Caenorhabditis elegans: one gene and its partners. The protein of the gene in region 1 interacts with the protein of each later gene in a pairwise test. Each region holds a gene or a part of one and is shown in the gene's direction. Other genes may lie near its edges. The genes, in order: pat-12, C33G3.6, C01G6.4 and sqst-2.

The links.
Region 2: the proteins of pat-12 (region 1) and C33G3.6 interact in a two-hybrid assay, tested with the Caenorhabditis elegans proteins (one large-scale study listed by BioGRID).
Region 3: the proteins of pat-12 (region 1) and C01G6.4 interact in a two-hybrid assay, tested with the Caenorhabditis elegans proteins (one large-scale study listed by BioGRID).
Region 4: the proteins of pat-12 (region 1) and sqst-2 interact in a two-hybrid assay, tested with the Caenorhabditis elegans proteins (one large-scale study listed by BioGRID).

Annotation. Positions count from the first base shown.
Region 1 is NC_003281.10:735,950-740,687, reverse strand, and holds the start of pat-12 (Protein pat-12), read left to right. Parts: upstream 1-1,709; coding exon 1,710-1,859; intron 1,860-3,007; coding exon 3,008-3,094; intron 3,095-4,738.
Region 2 is NC_003284.9:14,079,856-14,086,352, reverse strand, and holds C33G3.6 (Non-specific serine/threonine protein kinase), read left to right. Parts: upstream 1-2,034; 5' UTR 2,035-2,037; coding exon 2,038-2,133; intron 2,134-2,447; coding exon 2,448-2,693; exon of another isoform or gene 2,694-2,759; intron 2,760-2,831; coding exon 2,832-3,317; intron 3,318-3,501; coding exon 3,502-3,582; intron 3,583-3,629; coding exon 3,630-3,757; intron 3,758-3,807; coding exon 3,808-3,849; intron 3,850-3,894; coding exon 3,895-3,960; intron 3,961-4,065; coding exon 4,066-4,137; intron 4,138-4,230; coding exon 4,231-4,272; intron 4,273-4,321; coding exon 4,322-4,393; intron 4,394-4,604; coding exon 4,605-4,673; intron 4,674-4,716; coding exon 4,717-4,788; intron 4,789-4,980; coding exon 4,981-5,064; intron 5,065-5,265; coding exon 5,266-5,349; intron 5,350-5,403; coding exon 5,404-5,497; intron 5,498-5,544; coding exon 5,545-5,685; 3' UTR 5,686-5,972; downstream 5,973-6,497. Other genes in the region: F16B12.1 (CUB domain-containing protein), read right to left, coding at 472-599, 652-783.
Region 3 is NC_003280.10:9,270,751-9,274,694, reverse strand, and holds C01G6.4 (RING-type domain-containing protein), read left to right. Parts: upstream 1-1,652; 5' UTR 1,653-1,670; coding exon 1,671-1,735; intron 1,736-1,917; coding exon 1,918-1,975; intron 1,976-2,023; coding exon 2,024-2,092; intron 2,093-2,142; coding exon 2,143-2,231; intron 2,232-2,737; coding exon 2,738-2,969; 3' UTR 2,970-3,430; downstream 3,431-3,944. Other genes in the region: C01G6.3 (Lipoprotein), read right to left, coding at 3,543-3,944.
Region 4 is NC_003282.8:7,327,262-7,330,713, reverse strand, and holds sqst-2 (ZZ-type domain-containing protein), read left to right. Parts: upstream 1-1,738; 5' UTR 1,739-1,753; coding exon 1,754-1,822; intron 1,823-1,866; coding exon 1,867-2,017; intron 2,018-2,063; coding exon 2,064-2,168; intron 2,169-2,424; coding exon 2,425-2,828; 3' UTR 2,829-2,943; downstream 2,944-3,452. Other genes in the region: ocr-4 (Ion transport domain-containing protein), read left to right, coding at 1-162, 215-494, 569-814, 862-1,035.

The DNA of each region.
Region 1 (4,738 bases):
CGTTTGCTGGAAAATCTAGAAGTTACGGCGACCAAAGAAAAATTTGAGGAAAAGGGAAAATTAAACGGTTTCTTTCTCAAAGTTCCCAGTTGACTCCTTAAATACTTTAGGCCTAGTCTACCTGATCGCGATGTGTGTTCCTTTGAGCACACACGGTCATTTTTTCCTACAACGTTAGAAAGTAAACTTCTGCGTGCGCGCGCGCAAGCACGGAGCCAGAGAAAAACAGTCTCACTACCTAAGAAAGCCGATCATGGGGTCACTAACCTGGAAAATAGTTGAGCATTTGTGGAGGGTAACGAGGCAATCAACAAACAACCTGGCTTTCTCCTTCCGCATTTGAGATCCGCATCAATTTAGTTAAGGGGGAGGGAGGAAAGAGAGAAAGTTCAAATTTTGTAGTTTTTCAAAAATCGTGTAAATACAATTAACTTTAGGGAACTTTTAGAAGAAAGTGCAACTTACGACAAAAAAATCACAGTGATCAGCGCCAGATTGCGTCGCGAGAAACGTTTATTTTACAAAATCATTAGGCTCTGTATAAGTGACTCATTATTTTAAACTTATTTGTTGGTCTCAATATACTTTTCTCTTACAGGTTATCACAAATGCTAACATGCCATATATCTCCACGAGAATTCCGGATCCCCGCCGGAACCTAGCCGGAGACTTCCCAAGTGAGCATAGCAAGTCGAAGATCAAACTTGATCCGCTCGAGCAACGTCGGTTCAGAGTAAGCCGTACTTTTGAAGACTGAAATAAAATTTTATATCATGTTCAGAGCAGTGAATCGCGTCCAATCACCACCAGCAACTATCTCGCCGAGAGTGTCGATCGCCATCGTGAGATGGAAGCATCCCGGCTCAGAGAGTATTTGAAGGTGATTTTAATTTAATAAAGTCATGAAATTATAAAATTAAACGTTCTAGGCAAAGGAAAACGAAGCCAATCAGCCATGGAACAAACCAGGGTGGCCTGGACCAAAGAAGAATGATGAGAGCCTGAGGGAGCTTGAAACCATGAAACAGGTGAGCATGCATAGCACTGCATGAAAAGTATAGTTAAAAAGTAATTCGGAGTTCCGCATAAATCTAGGTATTCAAATAGTTAAATTAGAAAATATAAGGAAAATTTGGCAATACATCACAAATGTATTACACAAAGCCTACAAGTGATGACCAACAAACTTTGTCGAACCCTTGAAAAAAAAAATTTATTTTAAGATTGTTAAATACATTTTCAAAAATCGACCCGATTACCCAGTTGACAAAATTAAGAGATGTCATTGGTTTAGGGTTACCTTATTCACACTAGAACATTTTTTATAATTTTGTTTCCAGAGAATCGAGACGCTGAAAAGAGTAAGTCTATATCCCCTTTCTTGCATGTTTGTTTGTCTTCCTGTTTGTCCTTATGTGCATGTTATACTGTGTTGTCCCTCCTTTAAAAAAGATATCCCTGGCTTGGAAACGACAACACATGGATCCTCCTACTACCTACTGACCAACTTCCCTGAAACTACACGGTGTGGTGTGAAGCGTAATAGTGTGTAGAGAGCCGTCAGCCGAAATTCAGAAAACTTCCCAATCGATGAGCGATTTGTCAGTCTTGCCTACGCCGTCACAATTCGAGCAGCTAAATCCGGTGAGTAGACGGGGATGTTTTCGGGTACTCCAGGTTTTCAAAACGGAGCATTCGTTGAACAATAAATGAGTTTTCAGCAACCTCAAGCTTCTCCAATATCTCCGGGAGATTCTGGATGGCTGATCAAAATGCGCAAAAATCGATATTTGGATCACACCTCAAAGGTGAATGAGCCTAAGAAGTACAGATCAATGGACCAGCTTCCGACTGGAAAAGTAAGCCCCTGTCTATACTCTCAACCCAAAAAATCTCAACTAATGAGATCCACCAAAAAATTTGCGTCCTGCGCTCTACGCCAAATCGAATAGTGTCTCTGCCGAAGAGTTTTCTCTCGCTTAACACATCTCTCCTTCGATCGAATAGAAGCCTCTTGAAACTTCCGCCGACGCACACACAAACTGTATGTGTGGCTGCTGGAGGCTCTGCGCGGCGAGAGAGGGGGCTTGACGGATAGAATTTGAAACTCTTTTCTTTTCCTCTTTACTCCTCCTTCATTTTTATGAGGATTTTCCTTTTTTTTGAAATTTTTTTTAATGAGTAGGTTTTTTTTAGAGGTTTTCAGGTTAAAGTTGTAGGAATTTTTTGTTTCTTGTTAAAAATGATGCATAACGAGACTAAGGCTTAGTCGTAGTTTAAGGCTCAGACTTAGGGTGCAGTGTAATCCGTTTAAGCCTAACTATAAGATAAACATTATTCTTAGGTGTAGGTATAAGCATAGGCTTAGGCTCAGACTTAGGCGTATGTATAAGCTTAGACTTAGGCCTATGTTTAGGCGTAGGTATATGCTTAGGTTTAAGCTTAGGATTGTACTTAGAATTATGTTTAGGCTCAAACTTAGGTTTTGTCTTGATCATACAGTCTTAAGATCAAAATGAAAGGAAAAGTGTTCATTGCATATATTCCTTTTTAGTTAACTTTCAGTTTTTTTTCAAAATTGTTATTGCCTAAAAATAAGACTAAAATTCAGTATTGGTTGAGGTTTTTAATTTCTTGGTGACAAAAAAAAAACGAACTAATCTAGTTTGATATTCCAAAATAATCATGTTCGACCATCATATGTTATTTCCTTTTCCATATTTGATGCTTTATTTTTTTTTTAGAAAATCCTATTGACTTTGAACCTTCATTGCTTCCTTATCTTCACTCTATCTCTTACCGCAATCATAAATTGTTTGTTTCGAAGTTTGTTCGGAGCAGCAGTAGCAGGCGCCCGCGCTCGCGCACCTCCCACAATAATTGTCGGTGTATGCGTGGGGGTGATGCTTTGACTGTTGAATCAGTAATCCGAAATAAAAACAAAGCAATTTTCGAATTGAACAACATTGAAACAAATTGCCTAAAATACAAACAGTTTTGATTACAGGTTGGTGCACCCGACAACGAGAAGTCGGAAGGTACAGATCCGCTGCACTGGCAACTGAGGAAAGACTTCCATTTGGCTAAGTATTCGGTATGTTTTAGTTGGTAACAATTTTGAATATCTGAAAAATTGTAAATTAAGGATCTAGTGAACCAATGTATCAAACCATTAGAATTACAACGATCAGACTTACCTAGTAAATAGTCATCTCCAAAAGGAGTATCTTCAAAGCTAAAAAATGTCCAAGTCGAGAAATAGGTTAATTAATTACAACTTTAGCAAGTCTTGAAGTCCAATTCATAGCTTAAAACATAAGGATCTACCCCGAATTCTATTTTTTTACTGCATAGGAGTTCTACAACGACCCAGGAGATCTTATAAAATTATAGTACTCTCTGGAGCTGTTTTTAAGGCCTAATAACTTTTCTATGCCACCACTATGTATTATATGAAAGTGAAATAAATATCGAAAATTCTACTTTAGTTTGTTAAAATTCACTTCAACTTCTGAAAAGATTATATTAGTGTAACAAACGCACTTGGAGTCAGAATGTCTCAATTCAGTTTGATCTTCAAAAAATGCGGGAGGTAAGACACAGACATCTGATTTTTTTGTATGATTGAGCGTGCTGACACCACAATTTTTTTGGGAAAAAATTCCCGCATTTTTCGTAGACCACACTGTAATGGGAGAGCCTGACACCACCTGCAAACGTATTCCTAAACATTTACAGAAATTCGTTAAATCCCAGTCATCTCCACACATAGATGTATTTATCATTTCTCTGCAGTAGTTCTTAACCGTCATGCGTTCCGCGTCGTTCTTATGTTCCGCGCACCGGGGAAACACGCATTTGACCCGAATAGTGTGCTCATGGTGATAAGTGTTCATGCTCGTGCGTGCCTTAACCTCCTCCTCCCCTGTGTTGCTCCTGGCGCTTTTTGCTTCGTTTTGTCTTTCTCTCCACTATCCCTCGTTTTTAACATACGAAACAAGAAAGACAAACACATTCGTCAAAATCCTAGGAGTTCCCGGGTGCGTCTCTCCGACCTCTCACTAAGTCTCTGGCTCCCCATTATCCTCAAAAGCACTGTGTTTTTTTTCATTATTAGGTGCCAGAATCTAGGTTCAATCTTTTCAATTCTATTTCAATTTTTAAATTTGATGGTTGCAACCAAATGTTTCTCGGCGGAACAGCTTTAACATACCTATTGTTTCAAAAACTTTTGTGGTCAATAGACATAACTCTGAGCGCAAGGCACCCATCTCTAATCACTGTTGCTTCTGTTTGCTGGGCGGGTGAGAAAAATGTCCAACATTGTGTTGTACTTCTTTTTCAAAACCATTCTTTTTCATCGTTACACCAGCACTCTCGTTTCCTGCGTTTCTCACAATTTTGGGATTCTCTGTTTATTCGAGTACATACCGTAGTGGTCGGCTCTCGCTGCTCAACACTTCATTTTTTGCCCTCGAAAAGAGTTTTTTTGGAAAGTTGCAAATTCAAAAATCACGGAGATATTGTTTTGTTAACTTTTATTGGCGAAATCGATTTTTAAAAAAAATTCTCTAACAAGATACCTTTTCAAAATTAAAAAGTGTCCATCATTGAAATGATCTCATCTTTGACCAAATCTATAATTTTTATATTTATAGTTACTCTATTTTCTTTTCTCCCACTGAGATCTCGTCTTGCCTTATTGAAAAATCCTAGAGAATTATATAGAAAAGTTACT
Region 2 (6,497 bases), on another chromosome or scaffold:
CTTAGACGCAGACTTCTCACAAGATTTTGTATGGTTAAGAGCGTGCTGACGCCACATTTTTCTATGCAAAAAATTACCGCATTTTTTGTAGATTACATAAAAATGGGACAGTTTGACATGGGATCTTCGCTTTTTTCGGTTTAACTTTCTACATTAAAATCTATAACGAATGTATAAAAGATATTCCCTTATACGCAGACCGAATTCCTTTAAAACTCTACTCTCATATCTTGGCCGTGTTCTGTTTTGCACAGAATTTTGTTGTACGGAACATAATTTTTTCATTGTTTCTTTTTTTTGCATTCTCAATATGACTAATTGATCTCACGATGATCCCACAAGCATGTATTTTTCAATTATATATTGCAGGAAACTGAACATAGGTCTCCTTTCACAGGCAGTTTAAAAAATAATGAGCTTAATTAATTTTTATTGAATTATTATTCTAATTTAAAACAAGATACAACTTACTTTGCATGCGGAATACGAATTCTTTCACCATTTTCCTCGAGCAGACTGTAAACGATGAGACTTGCCCGACTGGAGATTTCAAACGACGATGTGTAAAGAGAAACGGTTTTGTTGGGATGTGGAAGTATCTATAGCTAGTTAACATTTATTAACTCCAATCACATTCTCTAATTTACTAACAATGTAGACACATCTTCCATCGCAACTTTGTGAATTCGGGTAGTGAGGTGATTTGATGATTCCATGTTCGATAGTTGCCTCATAAACTTCTTCTTCACAGGTACAATTGCCTTTCTTGATTTCATAGTCCATGTCATCATTTGAACTATCAATTGCATGTGTGATGATTGGAATTAGAAAGACACAAAAAATCCCTGAATACAATTATGTTGGCTATAAACTGTAATCAGCTAAATGTTATCAAAAGAGGCATTCAGATTGTTACTGGTTACAATAATTTCGAACTCACACATTCTTATTCAGCTAATAATTTTGATGATCAGTGAGAAACGGTGAGGACTCGAAATTAACGCAATGCAAAATAAACAGAAGCTGATATTGTTTATCAGAAGACTCATATTCAATTACTTCTCGCAGTGAATCAAATAAACGAAATGCCATCCAATATTGATGGGTGAGGAAATGAAAGAGTTTGAATAAAGTTATTTAAAAAAAAACAATCAGAACAATTTTGTTTATGCAGTTCGTCTGGAACAAAGTTGACAAGATTTATGAACCACTGATTACGTTTAAGTTGTGACAAAATAAATGTGCATGTAGAGCGGGGCTACCAAAAAGGCCACCTATTTATGTCTATGAATTTTCAAAACATACAAAAAATTTCAAATTAATATGTTACCCTCAAATGGTGCTAGAATCAATATTTTCTTCACAGTTTGTCAGTCATTTATTGAGTTTATCGAGATTTCTGGATCGCATAACTCAAATCTTTAAAAATAGTTAGTCTTGTTTGCACTATTTTTGTCTTCTAAAAAAATGTTGACAAACAATTTTTGCAGATTTTTCGACAAACGTAAAAAATTTTATTCAACCAAATTTATGCAAACTTTTATGTATTATGTAGATTTTTTTGTTTTTCTGTAACTAATCAAATTGCCTCGAAGTTTCTTGAATATTTTTAAACAGTTCCCAATTTTCCATAAGCTTTTACATATTCAGAGTTTCCCGCTAAAAATGTTTTCAGGAAAACGGAATTTCTCATTATGGGCTTAGAGCGAAAAAAGGCCGCGGCTAATCAGGTCCCAAAAAATGCTTGGATTGGGTTACTGCTCTCACGACGGGAGGGTCTTACGAGTTTCTGCTTTTGAACGAGTCATCTTTCCTCTCTTTCCTTTGCCATAAAATCGCACATAACGCGCTCTTTCTCTCCGTCTATTACGTCCAGTCTCACTTTACCACCCATCATGCCATTTTGTATCTGTTCGTTTTTCTACCTCCCTTGTTCCTCCATAGCTTCCAGTTAAAAATTCAATAAGTGAACGCAACTTTACAATTTTTTTAATTTTAAATTTTTCACAAAAAATTATACGCATTTTTTTGCAGGGTATGTCCGACCACGAAGACCAATTTCTTGTGTTCGCAGCTGACGACACTAATCGATTAACTGAAGAACACGGACACGGGGAAATGGGCAGGGATAAAGTGAGTTGGTTACAAATTCTTCAAGAACAAACATTACGAAAAAGTGTTGGTTAATGCTTCCTAATTTAACTTCTACAATTTTTTGGATGATATAAATTTTCACAACTTCAAATAATTTTTCGTTGAAAGTTGTTCAGAACTTGTAAATTATTATAGTTTAAGACTAATGAAACCTTTCGAAAAAAAGAGATCCACCGCTGTTTTTTTGAAAATTAGTGCGGTACACCGCTTCAATATAAAATATAGGGTTTATGAAAATGCAAAATTTAATGCGGAGCATCAAAATTCAGAAAAATACCACCATGGTTTTGCAGGCAGGAGTCGACGAAGAATGCCGGCACGAAGAGGATAAGGATGAATCTAACACGGAAAACCTCAAAAACACTGGCGAAAATGCAACAGCATGTAATGGAATAAATCGAAAAAACTATATCGAAAGAAACCGCATTGGAAATAGTGAAATTGAGGAAAAAATAGAAAAGCAAATGTCGGTAGAGAAGAACATTTCCATCGAACAATTTTTTGGAGAGAATCAAAAATCAACTCGGAACAGTGATCAGGTATATATATATATATATATATATATATATATATATATATATATATATATATATATATATAACATAATTCTAGCCAGAACGCCTTTTTCCTTAATATTTCAGCAATATGCGCAACTTGCTTAACTTTTTTATTTTCAGAACGCCAAAAACCATGAAGAAGATCCTGAAAGTGACGACGAAGAAACCGCATACTTGAATCTAATAAGAAGCTTCAAAAAGGAAGAGTCAATGCATGATCTTAAAAATGCATCGGGAAAACTGCCATCCAGCAATTGTGAAGATGAAATATCAATTGATGAATTTCACGATTCAGAAAGCAACGGAAAATGTAGCGAAGAAGAGGATGAAGATGAATCTTATTTGATTCAATTGAAATACTTTGGTGGAAGTGGTAAACCGTTAGAACAAGGACAAGAAAAGCCAACAAGCGCAGAAACCAATGAAGGATTTAACATAGATGAAAAGCCAGATGAAATGAAGAATAATTATGAAACTGATTCAGTTGAAAATGTTCAAAAAGGAGAAACCGAAGAGGAAAAACGAAAGCGATTGTCTGAAGAAGAGCGTTTGTCTGCTGAATTTTTGGCATCTCTTGATCAAAAAACTATTGATGCAGATAGGCTGGTGAGTATATATGTATATGACAAATTATATTTTCTAGCCCAGAAATGAGCTTATAAAATAATCTTCTCACTTAGCAAAAATTTACGAATTAATGTGATGAAAACTGTATAAATTGACTCTTGAAAAAAAAGAAAAAAAGAAAAAAGAGAAGATAAAGTCTTTTTTTCTAATTTCATAATTTCAGAGACATAATCTAAACCATCGAGAAAAAATAAAGGAAGAAGCTGAGCGTCAACAATTGGAACCTGAAATGCAGAAGTCTTATGTGAGTATTTATGCACAATTTTTTTTAAAATTTGGACTTTACTTTAGAACAATGACTATCGGCAAAGCTCAATCAATTCACATCAAGATAAATATGAAAACTCATCGAATGGCATCAACTACACTGATAGAAATCAAGACGTTTACAATAACAAATCATATGGACAGCAGGAATGGTATAAAACATCTTTTTTAGTTGTTAAATTGTTAAAAATATATTTTTTAGGTTGAAAAATACGTCCTCCGATCATTTACCCTATTGTGATCCGTAAGTTAAAATCAGTTTTTACAATAATTTAACATTTTTTTGCAGACGAGACATTCAAAGAGCATCAAGTCAAAATGTCTATCATGAAGGGATTAATTCGCATGTAAGCAGGTGAGTGTTTAAACTGTTATACGAAAAAAAACAATGTACAAGAGCATCCATATAGGTATAAATATTGAATGATCAAGTATTTTCATAATATAAGATGTAATTTAGACCAAACTACAATCAACCGCAGCACCATCAGCACCACCAGCAGTCTCACGATCAGAATTCAACTATTTCCAGGTAAAATTTTCTTACGCAATTGATCTTATAAGATCAATTAGGCACCCCACACAATTTTTTTTTAAACTTATGTTTTTAAATTTGTTTTTCAAGTGTGGAATACAACCAATACCAGCAAAAGGCGGGCAGTTATGGGTAAGTACTATGCTATTGCTCCATAGCAAAATACATATTTATTTCACAGACGAAACTACCATCCTTACAATAATCATCATCAACAGTACAACCCATACAATCAGGTCCTCGAAAACTCAAGGTAAATTTTAATGGGCGAAATGTTAAAAAAAAGGTGTAATTTCTACTGAAATTCCATATTTGTAATAACTTGGACTTATATTGTAATGCATTCATTATTTATGAAAAACTTTGAAAACACAAGCTTTAAACGTAAAAAAATCATAGAGAAGGGGCATCAGGCTGAAAAACATACGATTTTTATACAATAAATAAATTAAATCATTTTTCAGTTCGGAGTATAATCCACGCCAGCAGGAGTCTAGAAATGCCAGTTATATCAACATCTCAACATTTGATGGGTAATTTTAATATTATTTATCAGACGAAATACGGATTTTTCAGATATAACCACCATCAATATAATGGACATCATGAACGGGCAAACTCATACAATCCATACCCTGAAAACTCCAGGTAAATTCGAAATAGGGCTTATACTTCGATGAAAAACCTATTAGATCTGGTGTGGACGTTGAATCTGGCTCTCTCTCAAAGTAGGCTAAGATCTGCCTGACTCGCGATGCCTCCTATAAAGCTTAATGAAAATTTGGCCAACGTCGTTTAAAAACTGCAACAAATGTATTTTTTCAAATTACATTTTTTCAGAAACTTTTCACACCAATCGCAGCATAGCGGACGTCAAGCTGAGCAGCCGTACAACTCGTATGATCAATTTTTGACGAATGGAAGGTAGGTTCAGCCAAAACATTTTTCTCCTAGATAAAGAATCAAGCATCTGAAATTAAGAATAGGCGTGAAAAACAAAATTTTGCAATAACCAAGACAGTACTCAGTGGGTACCTGAAAAGCGTAGCCATTCAGGAGATACTATTCCTAAATACAATTGTCTCAAATAAAAAGTTGCATACATAAATTTATTTAACTTTTCAGAACCGAGTCATATGGAAACACCAACCATCAGTCTGAATCACTGGAAAAATCAAATTACGACTATAGAAATACTACAATTTTGAGGTTGGTTTTGAAAGTTTTGAAAAGAACTATAAATAAATATTTGGATGATTTCAGGCTTCTAATCGATAAGAAAACGGAAAGCTACGAGATAGCACGCCAAATTATTGATTATCTCGAGCTTTGCAAACGCAAAAATGTCAGAGTTACGGTGAGCTCAGCTCTAATACGGATAAATGATGAAAAATTTAAATTCAGAAAGATTCAATATATGAAGCTCCAAATCGCGTTTCCTATAATGTTGATCTGGTCGTGTTCATCAACCAGAAAATGAGTCATCTTGTGAAATGCGAGGACGATGAGTTCCGATTAATTTTGAACAGTGACGAAGGAAATTGATATATTTCCAATATTTATGACTTGATAGTTTTAATTCTTATTTATTTTTTGTTTTCCCGAGTTTTTTTCTAAATTTGTGTTTAATTTAGAGCTTCGCAGACCGGCTTGCTAGATCAATATTGTTAAGTAATTTGTTAATTGACAGCATTTTTGCAACTCAGAGTTCTTATAAATTATACATTTTCAGGTAGTCTTTCTCAGAAAGAGAGTAGGGTCCCCGGGGCTAGTCTTCACTATTTATTCATGTTTTCAAGGACTTTAAAAAATTAATAAACGTATATATACTTATTTATAGAAACCAGCCTAGTAGTATTCACTCAAAAAACCTTATAGACTTATTAAAGAAGGACAACACTTTGTGGGGAAATTGCTTTAAAACATGCCTATGGGGTCACAATGACAGAATATCATGATCAAAAAGTTCAAAAAAATTTTCTAAATTTGATATGATTTTTTGAAAATTGAAAAAATCTCAGTTTTCCCCTAATTCCAATTTTAATTTCTCATTGTACCAATAATGTTATGTAAACGCATATCATGTCAAAGACCAATTCTATTCATGTTTTCAAAAGATGTAAACTCAAATTTTTAAAATTTTCTTCCCAACTACCAATTTACGGCATTTTCTTGTTTTAGAAATTTTTTCAAACTTTTTATCAGCTCGGAAAAAAGTATTTTTCTAGGAATTTACGATGCTGCAAATTTTGTGATAAATCAGCGTTTGTCAATAATAAAATCCTAGTAACAATAAATTATCCATGACGATTTCGGGGAATTAAGATTTGAAAAAATAGCTCATAAAATTTTTTAAA
Region 3 (3,944 bases), on another chromosome or scaffold:
AAATGATTACTGTATCGCTTGTGTCGATTTACGCGTTCGATTTTTTAAATGAATAAAATTGAGCAAAAAATGAGAAAATAACACGAAGAAACGAAAGAAAATGGAATATTGCTGTCACTTTTTGAAAAAAAAAAAGATTTTGAAAATTGAGCCCGTAAATCGACAGAAGCGCTACAGTAGTCAGTTAAATAATTACTGTAGTTTTCGTTACGAGATATTTTGCGCGTCAAATATGTCGCACAATATGCATTCTCCGAGTTTTGCGTTCCTGTAATACGAAAAAGGTTACTGTATCCCAGGGTTTGGATCGTAGTTTTAGAAATCCCAAAAAAAAAGTTAGGACTCTTTGATAAAAAATTTTGTTCGATATGATTTGAAAAAATAAAGTTCCGTCAACAAAATTGACAGCTGAAGAAGGAAAAGGCGGGGCCCCAGTGGGCATGAGTGTCCCCAAGTCATGCGGTTATGTCTCTGCGTCTCTTCTTCTTCGTATACTCTCATTTCAGCTGTCTCATCGTCTGAAACTCTTATGGCTCAATGAACTCTCGTTTCAAAGAGACAGCTGCAATCGAACAGAGAGAGAAAGAGTGAAAGAGAGAAAATGAGAAGACTGCTTCGAGACACAACCACTTTTGGTCGTACTGCTTTTTTTCACCTGTTTTCACATGTATCGATTCAAGTTTTTAGAATCTAAGTTTCAAATTTTGATCACTTCAAAAATTATTAGTTATTTCTTTTTAGTCTAGACTTTCCTCGCGAGAAACATGCTTAAATTTGAATATATATCGAAATGTTGTATTTCTTATCAATAGACAACATTAATGTTTACTATCGATTAGGTTTTGTACGATTATGTCGTATAAAAATGTTGCTAATGCATTTCCTATGATTCTTGATGTTTTAGAACGGATTACGAAATTCTGCAATGATCAGTCAAATAATTTAAAGATATTTAGTATATTTAGCTACCACCTAGATACAGTAACTGATTAAATCGTCTCACTTCTTAAGTCTATTGTTAACTCTTTTCCTTAAAAAAGGGTCTTCATGTCCTATTTGTTTTGGTTTCGAGACCTGTTTTGGGCATAAATACGTGCAAACTACGGAAAGTCATTCCCGGTTTCCCAGAGAATCAATATTTGACGAGAGCTTCCGTGCACACCCAAACACACAGACACACATACACATAAAATGTTTCACAAAGTCGCTAAAAATGTTTTCTCATTGATTTTCTGGGAAGCCTGATTAATTAAAGAAGTCGCAGTGATGTTGTTCTTAAAGTTCGATGTGTAATTATGAGTAATTTTCCTTCCTGGTTTTCCATGCATGGACGTTTGAACATTATCTTACTATTAATTAGACGTCTAAAAGGTCTTGCGGCGCGAGCAGTGGGTTACTGTAGCTCGTGTCAATTTACGGGCCGAAATTGTACAATATACATTTTTTAATCATGAGTCAGAATTTTTTAAATTAAATTAGAGAAATATAACGCTATGGCAAACTGTATTTTGACACGAATTACAGTAACTTGTTGCCCGCGTGGCGAGACCCATCCGGAAAAGTCATGTAGAAAATTCTCATCTTTAGTCGTCTGAGAAATACTCCGATGTCCTCATTTTGTCACATCTTCATATATTCGACTTTTTTTTCAGCTTGATTTTCGATCGACAATGGGAAACTGCTTGCCGTCGTTGTTCGGGTTCGTCAGACAGCACGATGAGACGCCACTACGACGGTAATTTACTTTGTCATTCACTAGTATACTGTGAGATGTCGATGAAGCTAAACTGATGTGATATACCACAAAAATGAAAACGGAAGTTGTATTAACCAAAACACGTCGATTTTTTAAAAATTTAAATACAATTAGATTGTATGCTTGAAGTATAGAACAAGTTCAATAAACTATTTTTGCAGGAGCCGATCATCAGACGCAGCGATGAGCTTCACAAATCCGTCAATGATGCAACAAAGCGTAAGAAATTATTGAAGAATCTGAATTTAATTAAACTGAAATTTTCAGAGTTCGTACGTAAATCAGCTCTATCAACACAACGTAATTAGACAACGACAAGCACAGGAACAGGGAAAAGTGAGCGTTTAGAGCAGAATAATTTTAATTAAATTTTAAAAAATTCTCAGGAACTCGACGAAGCAAAAAAAAACCGAATTCGAGGACTTCTCGAGCAAATCCCTGCTGATGTATTTCGAGGAGATATGACCAGTAATGAGTAAGTTTTGAAATTCGGATCTAAATGAAAAATTAACTAAATTATTCAAACTACAATCTGACCAATATCAATTATTGTTCGAGCTACAGCAGAGGTGTTGAAAAAATTATTATCACCCAGACGCAAAATTTCACTCACAAAATATGGTTCCCGGTCTCGGCACGACAAAATTTTTGTGTACTGTGGAAGAGTGTGCGCCTTTAAAGATTACTGTAATTTTAAACTATAGATATATACGGAAATTTCATAGATTTTTAATTCTTTTTTGAAAACTCAAATATATGTGATTAAAAAATCACATACATTTTCACGAAACTTAAAAAATGATGAAATTTCCGCTGCAAGGAGAGTTTGAAAATACAGTATTCTATAAAGGCTCACACCTTTTCGCATTAAACAAAAAATTGTCGTGTCGAGACCGTGTATCGCACTTTGGCGCAAAATTTCGCGCCTGTATAATCAGTATTAATGCGCTCTAGTTAAATTTTTAAAAAAACCATTTTCAGATGTGCCATCTGTATGATCGACTTTGAGCCAGGAGAGAGAATCCGATTCCTTCCTTGCATGCACTCGTTTCATCAAGAATGCGTCGACGAATGGCTTATGAAGTCATTCACATGTCCTTCGTGCCTTGAACCAGTCGATTCAACCATACTTTCCTCGTTAACTGCCCATAATATGCAATCCTTACAACAAATCGTGTGCTCGCCGACTTCCTCATCAACTGCCAAACCATGAATGCCTTCTGCAAAAAATATTCCCATTTTCTTGCCCAGTAGAAGTTTTCGAGTTTGGTTTGCAGTGTTGGCTGTATTTGTCCCCATTACAAACGTCTGTATATAGAAATGCGTGTACATATGAACTATACCATTTCTTCACTCATCTTTCACCATTTTCATTTTGTTTCTTTTTTGCTCTGTTCCACCTGAAATCCCCATGTTGTGCATACTGTAGTCGTCTTTAATTCCTCATCATCTCCTGTTCATCTTTTTAGTCAATTCCATCCCAACGTGTTATTTTTCTTTCTTCTGTTCACTCATCTCGCTCTCTGTTCTGTAGCTTTTCTTTAATTCACCACTCGGTACACACTTTCTGTCTATGTATCTGATACTCATTTTATTGACTTCCCAAAAAAACTTCCGGCTACTCTGAAATTCAAATAAATTGCTTTTTTTTAACGCATAAAGTGTCAAATTGTCAAACTTGTTTTATTAAAAGATTCATATTGGAAATTGAAATTTGAAAAAAAGGATTGGATCCCTGATGGAAATTGGTACTCGTGGTGAAAAAAATATTAAAATTAAAAGTCAATTAAAATCCGAAAAAGTCTCGAACGGCATCCCAGGCTCCTTGATCGTAATGCTTATGGCTTAGCATGTTCACACCACGTCGTTGAGTGGTATACAATCGTGTCGGAGTGTCGGACTTCAGAATCTTCTGCGATTCTGGCAGCAATTCGGCGAATTGGCTCTTCTCCGGCTCGTGATGAGGTGTCATATCGGGCATCATAACTGGTGATCCGTTTTCAGTGGTTGGAGTTCCAAAACTAGTTCGGAGCACGAAGACACGTCCAGGAACGGTTGATTTTGTGCCATTTTGATACAAATCAACATCAGACTCGGTCGTAGCGTAAATATATCCGATTCCGAAGCTTCTGCGGAAGACAAACTCATCTTCGGTCTTGTAGGCGTAAATTGGGCAATCCGAGAGAGT
Region 4 (3,452 bases), on another chromosome or scaffold:
ACTCGGACTTTCTGGATTTCCAGCCAAAGCTATTTTCCTATTTTCCTGTATTCTAATGGTCATCACATTTTTTCTGAGAATATTTTGTTTGGATGAAGCCGAGGATATTGTTTGGATAGTGATTGTTTTATTAACTTCATTGAAATTTCTGTTCTTTTGTAGGTAAGTACGCTTTATGATTAGATCCACAATAGGAAATAAACTACTTTTCCAGAGGATTTAAGTCAGTTGGACCATTCGTCTTGATGCTCTATAAAATTATAATTCGTGATTTAATGAGATTCTTCTTGATCTATTTGGTCATTGTAGTTGGCTTCTCTCAAGCATTTTATGTCATATTCCTCGGTTATAAGAGAAGTGATTCTGGAAATCGTGAACCAAGCATTATGAGTAACGTTGCGGAAAGCTACGTACGGATGTTTATCATGTCACTCACAGAGTTTACTGTATTTTTTGAGCAATTGGAAGAATGTGAGCATACCGTTATTGGAAAGGTAGGCTTACACTTTTTTTAAAACAATTCTAGACTAGAAAGATCATCGAAAAATATAGAATTTTTGATTTTCAGATAACATTCGTAGTCTATATGCTTCTCGTAACACTTTTGCTCATTAACATGCTTATTGCTATGATGACTAATACTTATACAGAAGTCTCTGGAAATTCATTAGAGTGGCTTCGACAATGGTCTGCAATTATTCTAATGATGGAACAAAGTTTTGATCCAGCAACCAGGTTACGGTATCAAAGAAGATATGGAATACGTTTTGATGGAGGTGAAAAACTAGTTTTATTGTTAAAAGATAAAATGACAGTGAGTTCCTCTTACACATTTGCCAATAGTTTGATGATAAATTTAAGGAGGAAGAATTCGAGTGCCAGCGGAAGAAAATGCACGAAGAGCGTCGTAAATTCCGTGAGGAACTTCGCACAAACCAGAGAAGACGGCCAGTATTTATATGCAAGCAAGGAGCAAATTATTTCAAATCGAAGCATCGACATACTAATAATAAGTTGATTATTCCTACCGGCTAATTTTTTTTACTGTTTCATTCTCTTCCTAAAATAATTTGTCTAATAAATGTTGGATCTTGTTAGTGAAAAATGTGGAAAGTTGATGTTTCTTCTTTGATTCCTCAATCTTGCTTTTTTAGAAACCTTTAAATTTGGCAGTGGAAAACTTTAAATGAAATGGATGTCTCAAATAGTTTCCGGATTTAATATGTTGCATTCAAATATTTTTATTTAAGACTGTTTAATTTAGAACATTTTAAAAGTGTTTTTTACTATTTTTTGGTACTGTTGCAGTAACCATAATCAAGTATAACGATATGAAAACTTTCAAAACGAACTGCTCAGCCAGTCCACAAGCGGCATACTGTTAGTTTATTTCGGCAAATTTTGTCAGTTCAATTTGAAAATTTATTTATTAAAAAAGGATTAAGAACTCACCCAAGAGAATGCCCATCGTTTTTAGTGTTATTTCTAGTGTTATACCAAGTCAATTCAGATATTTCAAAAAATGCAACATTCTCTGATGTGCCTTCTTCTTTTCTTTGCTTTGCTCTCCAAAAATGACTAACGAGTGGAATGTTATCTTATCAAAAACTGCATCATTCAGCATTTGACAAGAGTTTCACTGGCGCTGAAATCAACATTTTCACTTCTCGACTCTTCCTAACTTTTTTTCTAAAATTGCTCATTACTTCTATAGATTAACTTTTTAGTTTTGATTTAGTTTGGGTCAACAAAAATGAGTAGTATTCGATACAGGAGACCACCAATCATAGAACGAAGATATGAAAGAACTCCATCATATTCGGTAACTTCAAGAATATTCGATTTCAGTAATAAAACTGTTTTCAGACGATTCCAAGGGATATTCATGTCTCATTCTACCATAATAACTATCACAGATCAAAGATTTTGTATTTGAATAAGTTCAACGCAATGGAAAAATTAATTGAAGCTGCACACGAATTGTATCCATCAAATGGTGTTTATCGTCTATTTTCGGGTGAGTTTTTTGAAATGAAAAAATATTTGTAATAATTTTTTAATAGATAGTACAATTGGTGCTCAAAACGAGTTGAATGATTCAGTGCAAGTTATGGAATGTGTTCAAAATCCTGATCATATTCTTCCACATCTACATATAAGACTGGAAGGTAAGATTTTACGGAAAACTTTTTAAAAAACAGTTCCATAGTCCTATTATAACAACCTTGTTAGTTCTTTGTTAGATAATCTTACAATTTGAAAATTCAATTATTCAAATTAAGTTTTTTTAAAAAAAGGAACAATGATCTTTCAAAGTATTTTTTATTTTCAAATTTTGAGAAATTTCAAGTTGTTTTGCAAAGGTGTGTTCTTATGTAACTCAAAACTAATAGTAACAAAATTTTTAAAAATTTAATTTTTCAGATTACCGTCCCAGAAGCATAAGCCGTAATTATCACGAAGTTAACGTTCCAATAATTCGAACTCCATCTCAACATTCAATCCATCAATCTGTTCGATTCAACGATAACAAACGTCATCACCATCATCATCATCATGATTCAATAAGAAACTTCGTCCATCATGACACTCCATGCCGAAACTGTTTCCGTATAATTGTTGGAAGCCGTTATCACTGTCTTCAATGTCCAGACTATGATATTTGTGGAGACTGTGAAAAAGATTTGGTTCACTACGAGCATGCTCTTCTACGAATTGTGACTCCAAGGGTTACAAGTATTCCTGATTATGTCACAGTTAACGCCCCAAGTTACATTTTCCCAGAACATCGTTATGATATCAAAAGAGAACATTATCATTGGTTTTAAATTGTATTTTATAGTTTTGTTGTTTTTCCTATTTATGTTGTGAACTTAGTTTTTCTGTCGGATTTCTGTCCTATCTTGTTATACTTAAAAAGACCAAAAAAGTTATGTAATTGCAGAAGTGCAAAAAACCAAGACGCATCCTCCATTCAATTTTAATTTCCTGAAATCTATCTCGCAAAAAAAAAAACAAAAAAAAAAATTCCCTCTTATTTTGAATTTTAAAATTAAATTTTTCTTGTGCTTTTCAGAAATCTGTTCCAATTGAATTTTCATTCCTATTGACTTGTAGGACTAGAATTAATAACACCGCGGACCACCTTTATTGAGAATTTCAAAAACATTTTGTAGGCCATGTTTCCAATTTTTAATTGTCTTAAAATTAACACAATGTTTCAAAATTTCTATTTTAATTGGCTCCATAGAACACTTTTCCATGTAATTAGAAAATGCCTACCTGCCTGACACCTAGAAAGTGACCAACGCTTACTGTGCATTGAAAGCATGCAAGTAGGCATTTTTGCATGCGTGGGAGGTTTCTACAACTCAGCCAAAGCAGTCTATTGTACCTACCCATTCCTTATTTATTCTTCCGCAATCACCAATGACGCGTTCATGATTTTTCAC